Macaca fascicularis: one gene and its partner. The protein of the gene in region 1 binds, or shares a complex with, the protein of each later gene. Links are inferred from orthologs where the notes say so. Each region holds a gene or a part of one and is shown on either strand. Other genes may lie near its edges. The genes, in order: BAG3 and HSPB8.

Evidence for each region.
Region 2: BAG3 (region 1) and HSPB8 share a complex: the UniProt entries of both Homo sapiens proteins name them as parts of the chaperone-assisted selective autophagy (CASA) complex. The link is inferred for Macaca fascicularis from reciprocal best matches to the Homo sapiens genes BAG3 and HSPB8.

What each region holds. Positions count from the first base shown.
Region 1 is NC_088383.1:128,663,312-128,667,800, forward strand, and holds the start of BAG3 (BAG family molecular chaperone regulator 3), read left to right. Parts: upstream 1-1,397; 5' UTR 1,398-1,693; coding exon 1,694-1,873; intron 1,874-2,392; exon of another isoform or gene 2,393-4,489. UniProt on the Homo sapiens protein: Co-chaperone and adapter protein that connects different classes of molecular chaperones including heat shock proteins 70 (HSP70s), e.g. HSPA1A/HSP70 or HSPA8/HSC70, and small heat shock proteins (sHSPs), e.g. HSPB8.
Region 2 is NC_088385.1:126,176,755-126,181,249, forward strand, and holds the start of HSPB8 (heat shock protein beta-8), read left to right. Parts: upstream 1-1,484; 5' UTR 1,485-1,856; coding exon 1,857-2,223; intron 2,224-4,495. UniProt on the Homo sapiens protein: Involved in the chaperone-assisted selective autophagy (CASA), a crucial process for protein quality control, particularly in mechanical strained cells and tissues such as muscle. Displays temperature-dependent chaperone activity.

The DNA of each region.
Region 1 (4,489 bases):
TTGTATAGTAATCTGTATGTATGTAACCTGGTGATGACCAGTCATTTCTCTTTTTCTTTCTCTCTCTTTCTTTTAAAGAGACAGGGTCTTGCTCTGTCGCTTAGGCTGGCATGAAAAGCACAATCACAGCTCATGGCAGCTTCAAACTCCTGGGCTCAAATGAGCCTCCCACATCAGCCTCCTGAGCAGCTGGGACTACAGGCATAAGCCACTGCACCTGGCTTATTTTTTGTTTTTGTGGAGATGGGGGTCTTACTGTATTGTTCCGGCTGGTCTCAAACTCCGGGACTCAAGAAGTCCTCCAGTTTTGGCCTTCCGAAGTGCTGGGGTTACAGGCATGAGCCATGGTGGCAAGCCCTCATCAGTTATTTTTCTATGATTCTGTCTCGCTGTCCCCTCCTTACAAGGAAAGTAATTTTGAAACAACCAATCCAGTCTTGGTTCTTTGTTTCTGCTTTCTTCAGCCCTTCTCTGTCTATAAAATCAACCTCTTCTGCTCAGCTCATGGGAGCACTTATTCTAATTTAATGGAGGTGTTGCCCAATTCTAGAATCACAAATAAAATTAAGATCTTTAACAACAAAAGTTAAAAAATGAGAATCAGCAACAACAACAACAGAAAAGATCTTTAAATGTGTTGTAATTTTCTCCTTTGACAGGTTACAAGTGCAATTGAATAAACCAAACAAAAAATGTCATGGTTAGGTTCGGTCTTTACTTCCCAAATGAGGGTCAAGATGTAAGACTGCAAGAACCAACTTCTACCATAAAAAAGATCCGAATCCAAGAAAATGTGATTTTTCTTTAAAGCTGTTCACCGCAACGAAAGTTTCTTTTTAGTCTAGGAGACTAAAAGCCATCAGCTGACACAATCTCTTTTTTTCTTGAAGTTTCCAAAGGAAGGCAGGTGAGTTTGCACTAACTTCCATTTTCTCCCTGGCTTCCTTCTGGTGTCAGATGAGCGTCCCCGCGCTCCTCCCGGACAGCCCTCATGGTCCCCGGCTATCATATATGGGGGGGTTGGGGGATGGGGGTGGGGTGGGGGTGGGCGAGATGGCTTTGTACAGGAAAGAGGGGCGGCAGGCACGGGGAGCACGGGCTCCAGCCCCAGGAACACTCAGTCGGCGCAAAGGAGAGGGAGAGAGCGAGTGCGAAAGCCGAAACCCTCCCGGGGCCACGGAGTAAGCCCCCAGTACCGCTCCTCCGGCGCCCCACCCGCAGGCGGACCCCGAAGACGCGCCCGCGCCCGCCCCCGGCGACTCCGGCCCGGGCACGCGCACGAGACGGCGGGGGGAGGGGCGGGAGAAGGTGGGGGAGGGGCGAGCGGGGAGAGGCCCCGCCCCGGCCCCTCAGCCCCGCCCGCCGCGATTATAGCCGATGACTCAGGGCGGAGCTCCGCGTCCAACCCCGGGCCGCGGCCAACTTCTCTGGACTGGACCAGAAGTTTCTAGCCGGCCAGTTGCTACCTCCCTTTATCGCCTCCTTCCCCTCTGGCACCGAGGAGGCTATTTCCAGACACTTCCACCCCTCTCTGGCCACGTCACCCCCGCCTTTAATTCATAAAGGTGCCCGGCGCCGGCTTCCCGGACACGTCGGCGGCAGAGAGGGGCCCACGGCGGCGGCCCGGCCAGAGACTCGGCGCCCGGAGCCCGCGCCCCACACCCGCGCCCCGGCGGGCAGACCCCGACCCAGCATGAGCGCCGCCACCCACTCGCCCATGATGCAGGTGGCGTCCGGCAACGGTGACCGCGACCCCCTGCCCCCCGGCTGGGAGATCAAGATCGACCCGCAGACCGGCTGGCCCTTTTTCGTGGACCACAACAGCCGTACCACGACGTGGAACGACCCGCGCGTGCCCTCTGAGGGCCCCAAGGTGAGCTGGGCCCGCGGCCCGCCCTGGTCGGCGGCGCCACCTCGACGGCAGGCGGCGGGGAGTGGGTTGGGCCGGGGGGACGCCAGGCGGCGGGGCCCGGTGGCCGGCGAAGGCCCCTTGCGGGCGGACACCGGCTCCGCGCCCCGCCACACACTCCCGGTGCTCCCGGACGAGTCCCCGCTCCGGACCCGCCCTTTACAGGAGTCGGGGCGAGAGGAGGCCCCGCGATCCGGTGGTCCGGGAAGCGACCCCGCAGTGGGTCCGGTGCCGTCCACGGCTCGACTCGGGGCGGAGGGCCGCGTGTCCGACGCTGGCCTCACGCTCCCGGGCTCGGAGGGGGCGGCCGGCCTGGTCAGCTCCGGAGGCTCCGGCCCGCCGCGGCCACTGCTGCCGGCTCGGCCTCCGGTCCCGGGACCCGCGGCGCACCCCGCTGACCGCGGACTCGAGGGGGACCCTCGCAAGCTTGGATGGTGGTTTTTGGGAGGAATTTTACCGCTCAAGTTCTCCAACTTGGTTGAGGGGTATCTTGTTTGCTGTCCCATCTTAGGCACCCAATGACTCAGGAGGCTGGTGTCAAAACATTCATATATATGTGCGCGCGCGTGTGTGTGTATTTTAAATTAAAATTGTATTATTGTTTGAAAGTGCTTTCAATACGAATGTATCCTAGTATGACTTGTAAAATATAAAAGAGGGTGCACTTCTCCCCAGCAGTTTCTAAACTAGAGATCTGAGACTTACAGTTGGCCATTGCCTTACCACATTGCCTCACACTGGAAAGAGAATGATACGTGTATATTTATAATGGCATTCGCTTCCTGCCTTGTTATGGTATTAAAATACTTAGAATTTGTTACCAGTACACAAATAACTGAGTAATGATACTCTTGGGAATACAGCAGAAGTATGTCTCATTTACATATATGCAACGATATTCCTAATCCCCAAGAGCATGAAATTTGAAAACGTAAATTTGGAATGAGTCTGTTAATTTTCAAAAATCATAGTTATACTATTCGTTCAATTTTATATAAATTTGAGCTTTCAAAATAAAAAGTTTTTTTAAAAAAAATGTTATACTTAAAGCGTAATTGTTACTGCCGTCTGGGCAAGATAAAAGCAGCAAAGAGCTGGTAAATTATTTTGAAGATTTTAAAACTCACCAAATTAAAAATACTTTGTAACCCATTATTTTAGAAGAAAGACCTGTATTATTTCCCTTCATTTTAATGCACTTTTTGTTTTAACAATATTGATAAAACTCCGGTGCCCAACAGTGAGACACTGTACAGGCAGCAGTTTACATTTACGAGAGATTACTTGTGTATTTATTCTTGAAAATTAATACAAGAGGCTGTAATTAGCTGGGGTGGGCACAGTTGCATATACCTTTTTGTGTGTGTGTTCAGCCCATTTTTGGGTGAAACTGACACTCATTTCAAACCACCTTTCTTAGGCGTCTGCGTGGATGTACCTGATCTTTAGTGTGGTTTGCAACTATTATTTTGAGGCCTTCTTCCTGTGGACATAGGGACAGTGGTATCTGCTGGCAGCCTTTGTTGTGAGTGAAGATCAAGTTTGAACATAGACATTCCCAGCACTTTGTTCTCAGCATGAAACTTACCCAGCAAGTTGAGATATTCCTGTACCCACCTGGTGCATGGGTTAGGCTGTGGTTTCATAAACCTTATTAAAAGAAAAAAAGCAGGTTTAGCTGCCATTATTCTTCTCAATAAATAAAAAGTAAGAACTATTACATCAGAAGTCTGATGCTGGAAAGGTTTCTTTGAAAATTTCATAGTCAAAATTTTTAAGTTGAAAGGTCCTTGAAGATCTCTTAGTTAGAAGATCTCTTATTTTCTGAAAAACCCAGAGAATTCAGGTGTGACTTTGAAGGTCATCCAGCTAGTACCAATTACAGGGAGAGAACTAATGTCAGGAAAGTTCTAGTAAGAGGTGGTGTGTCTGTTAGAAGTTGGAAGTGAATGTTTTGTGAAACTGAAGCATGCAGGCTAGAATACCTGATTATCTTTGTGCCCTCCTGGCCACCAAGTTATTGGGTCACTGACCTCTGTGCTGTGGTTGCTTGGATTTTGATGATGGGACGTCATCAACTCAAGAAAAGAGTTCTCTTTACGAAGTGAATGACTTGAGACTTGTCAGCATGGCACCAAAACTTAAGGAGAAAACTAACATTCAGCCCATTAGCTGTTTGTGCTTCATTGCTTTCAACCCTGTTCTTAGACGCACACAATATCTGGTTGCACTTGTGTGAATTACACCTTGCTGGAGACTAAATGTAGTGGAGAATCCTAGAATATCATTTTGTATTTGGAATGGGCTTCTCAATGCATCATGAGAAAAGGGCCCTTGCATAAAACAAAGGGTGGCTTTGGAGGAGCTGAGCTGAGGCCCGTGTGAGCATCATCATTTTCAAGAGGAAATGCTGTCAATCAGTAAAAAGCTGTTCATTGAGCATGAGGAGCTCCAGAGACGACCTCTCCTTTGGGGGAGGACTCAGCTTCACGATGTTTAAAATTTAACCACGTTAGTAAGAAAATGGAAAGAAAAGACTAGACCTTTGTATTTAGTCTTCTACTGCCGTCTTGCAATTGA
Region 2 (4,495 bases), on another chromosome or scaffold:
ACAAAGGTGCCCATCAGACTGCTAGGTGCTGAAAGAGAATTACCTCATGTATTCCTCATGGCATATCTGTGAATTGACTACTGTTACATCCATTTATAAGGAGGAAAACTGACAATTTGGAGGTGCCTGGGAATAATGTTACTGCCTATAAAGATGCTTTGCTTGACCAAACATTAATCAGATTTCTGAATCTTCTCCTAAGCCCATCTGTGAGGTTCCTTATAAAAATTCAGTTTTGGGCCAGGCGAGGAGGCTCATGCCTGTAATCCCAGCACTTTGGGAGGCCGAGGCAGGTGGATCATGAGGTCAGGAGTTCAAGACCAGCCTGGCCAAGATGGTGAAACCCATTTCTACTAAAATACACAAAAATTAGCTGGGCATGATGGCGGTGCCTGTAATCCCAGCTACTCGGGAGGCTGAGGCAGGAGAATCGCTTGAACCTGGGAGGCAGAGGTTGCAGTGAGTCGAAATGGCACGACTGTACTCTAGCCTAGGGGACAGAGTGAGACTCCGTCTCAAAAAAAAAAAAAAGAAAGAAAGAAAGAAAGAAAAATTCAGTTTTGGCGTGAACTCTGCTAAGTCTGTTTAGCAGCAATCACCCATCTTCGATGTCTGATCACCCTCGATATCTGATTAGTTTCCTCATCCTCCACCATCCCCCAGATGACGTCTGAGCACCCTGGCCTGTCTTCAGCAAGCATCCTCTTAGGTTAGCTGAGCCTGAATCCCTCTGATCCCTGGACTTTCCTCCTAGTAATTTTCCATTCGCTGATCCCACCCCCACCCCACCTGCTTCTTGCCTACAAATTCCCACTTACCTATGACCTACTGGGAATCAAATCTAATCTTTCTCCCTCACTGCAAAATCCCATTGCGGGGGTCCTTACATCTATGGAGAAAGTTTCCCTGCCCAGTAAAGTCTTGCTTATCATACTTTGACAAGTGTCATATGAATACATATATATATGTATAATTTTTTGTTTTTTCTTTACCGCTCTCCCCAGAGGGCGTTGAGGCTTTAGGAGCTTGGCCACCTTGTAACTGGGGATTCCAACCCAGGGACATCCTTCAAATCCACTGGGCTAATGTCTCTCTCTTCCCTTTCTGCAGGTCCCCAGGGGAAAGGCAGGATACGACACGCTCTGGGGAAGGTATTTCCAGAGGGTGACCTGAGCCCTCAGCCAGGCTAGGGGTTATTAATAGCCAGGCCTTAGTGCGCCTCTCCGGGAGGGCGGCTCCAGCGCCGGGAGCAAGCGGAGGGCGGAGCTGAGCGGAGTGGCCAGGGGAGGAGAGAGTGTCCAGAGAGGCTGGTTGAACTTGGACGCGGCCCCTCCCAGCTCCCCCCACAGCCCAGCTGTTCCCTCCGCGGATTCTCCGGGGCTGGTTCATCACCTCCGAATATTCCTGTGACAGGAGACGCTTGCAAAACCCGCCTCCAGTCTCCAGCAGCAAATAAATAGAAGGCTTGCAGCCCAGGAGGAGCCAGAAGAAGTTTCTAGGCGCGTGTGCCCTGGGTTTATTAAGCTCCTGGCTCCGCTCTAGACCTCAGCGGCTCTGGCTGCCAGCCTGGGCAGCCTGGGAGGACGGTGGCTTGCTGGTCTGTCGTGAGGCAGTGAGGAGAGGGGCCCTCTGGGATTCTGCTGGACCTGCCTGGGGGTCACCTTTGGGGTCTGGGACCCCAGCCGAGGGGGCACAACCGTCCCTGGCAGTGGTTGGTTCTGCTTCTCCCTGCAGAAAAGCAGCATTTTCGGAAGCTGAAGAATAAGCTAGCCCAGCCACACCACCTTGTTGAGTGACCTTGGGCAGGTGGTTCTGTCTCTCTGAGCCTCTGTTTCCCTCTGAGCTCAGCAGCCACCATGGCTGATGGTCAGATGCCCTTCTCCTGCCACTACCCAAGCCGCCTGCGCCGAGACCCCTTCCGGGACTCTCCCCTCTCCTCTCGCCTGCTGGATGATGGCTTTGGCATGGACCCCTTCCCAGACGACTTGACGGCCTCTTGGCCCGACTGGGCTCTGCCTCGTCTCTCCTCCGCCTGGCCAGGCACCCTAAGGTCTGGCATGGTGCCCCGGGGCCCCACTGCCACCGCCAGGTTTGGGGTACCTGCCGAGGGCCGGACCCCCCCGCCCTTCCCTGGGGAGCCCTGGAAAGTGTGTGTGAATGTGCACAGCTTCAAGCCAGAGGAGTTGATGGTGAAGACCAAAGATGGGTATGTGGAGGTGTCTGGTAAGTCAGGGGTAGGAGGTCGGCGGGAGGGGGGGTGGGGCGGGGGAGTAGGCCTCAGCCCTGGGAATAGCCAGGAGAAAAGTTTCCTGAGAGCAGACGCTGGGACAGTGTGACACAGGTGACCTCAGGGCTCAGGAATGCAGCCCGCAAAGTTATCTTTATGGAAAACTTCTCTCCCAGCTCCCAGCAGAGATCTTAACCTGCCTGACTCAGCTACTGGGGCCTTGGGGTGCTGATCAATCAGAGTACAGACAGGAAAATAGAAACCACGTTGGGTATTTTGACAGAGGGCATTTAATATAAAGAACAGGTTAAACAGATACCAAAAAATTAAAAAACAAAGAAGAAATGGGATTTCATGCACTCCAGCATCACAACACAGGGTCTAGAAGTTCACGTTAAGGCTGAGCAATGATAGTGTTAATATCCACAACTGGTTTCCAGTGAAACACCTCTCCTTGTCCCAGACAAGGAAACTGAGGCTTACCAGTAATTGTAGTAACACTAACTGGTAACTCTGAGTGCTAACTATGTGCTCAGCACTTTGCTAAATACTGTTGCCTATCATATCTCAGCTAACACAACCACCAGAGGAGGTGGGTACTGTTTATCTTCTTATTTTTTTGCAGATGAGGAAACTGAGGTATGGAGAGATTAATGTAACTTGTTCAAGGGCATCAAAGATTCAGACTCAGGCTGTCTGGGAATTAGGAGGCCAGAAAGAAGGAATGATTTACTGAGCACCTGCTAGGTGCCAAGGGCTGGGCTGACATTCTTATACTTCTTCCCCAAAATCACCCTCCGTCAAGTCCAGAGTAGCAGGGGTGTCTAGGCCCATCTTGCAGTTGAGGAGGCTGAGGCCTAGGTGGGACTTGTTCACAGTCATGCCATGAGTCAGCAATAGGAGTGGAGTAGGGACTGGGCCTATCCACAGCTTTAGGCTCAGGGCTCTCACAGCCACATCCCACCCTGGGAGAAAGAAACATACAAGGGGGAAGAAAGAGCGAAGACAGGAAGCTCAGCCCCTGTTAAGCTGGGCAGCAGAAAAAGCTTTCTTTTCCTTCCCTCCCGCTCCATTAAAAAGAATGTGTTCCCGGCAGAGGCTTGCCTTCCAGAAAATCAGTCAAAGCCATTGCAAACACAGGCTGGGCAGGAACAAGCCCCGGCAATGTTCAGGGGGAGTTTCAAGCCAGTCATGGCAGAATTATAAACATCAGAGGCTCCAGCGGGTGTGGTGGGCTGGGAGACTTGCTGGGGCCACGTGCTGCTGACAGGGTCAGCCAGATCTCTGAGTTGGCTGGGAGCCAGGCACGAGTTCCGAAACTGGCTCCAACTCTAACCAGCAGGATGTGCAAATTACTTTACATCTTTGTGCTTGTTTTGTTTCCTCATCTGGAAATTAGGGTTCAAATGGTTATACCGTAAAGATTGTTGTATTAAATGAGGTGATGCTGTACAATGTGTACCTACCTGTGAACCCAGAAAATCTGAGACATATCTCAGTTCATTTAGGAAGTTTATTTTGCCCAGGCTGAGGACATGCCCATGACACAACTTCAGGAAGTCCTCCTGTCACATGCCCAAGGTGGTCTGGGCACAGCTCAGTTTTACACATGTTAGAGAGACATGAGACATCAATCAATATATGTAAGAAGTACATTGGTTCCATCTGGAAAGGCAGGACAACTTGAAGCAAAGGCAGGAAGATTTGAAGTAGGGAGAGGTTTTCCAGGTCACAGGTAGCTGAGAGACAAATAGTTCTTTTGAGTTTCTGATTAGCCTTTCCAAAGAAGGCAAGCAGCTATGCATCTATGTCAGTGAGCAGAGGGCTGACTTTGAATAGAATGGGGGGTAGGTTGGCCCTAAACAGTTCCCAGCTTGACTTTTCCCTTTAGCTTAGCGATTTGGGGGCCCCAAGATTTATTTTCCTTTCACATTTCTACGACCTGGAACACAAGGAATTAGTAGTATTATTGCCATCGTTGTTGTTATAATGCCAGGCATCCAGGAAGGCCCCAATAAATAATGAATAATAGATTCTCTTTGAAACCTGGGTTCAGATCCCAGCACTGCTGTTCACTAGCATGATGGATGTGGACAAGAAAGTCTTCTCATCCCTCTGAGCCTCATTTCTCCTATCTGCAGAATGGGGATGATAATACTATCTGTCCTGCAAGAGTGTAGGAAAGATTAAACATATACAGACTATCTATGATCACATATGCAGAGTGTCTATAAAATGGAGCTAATAATAGTGCTTGGCTGGCATTCT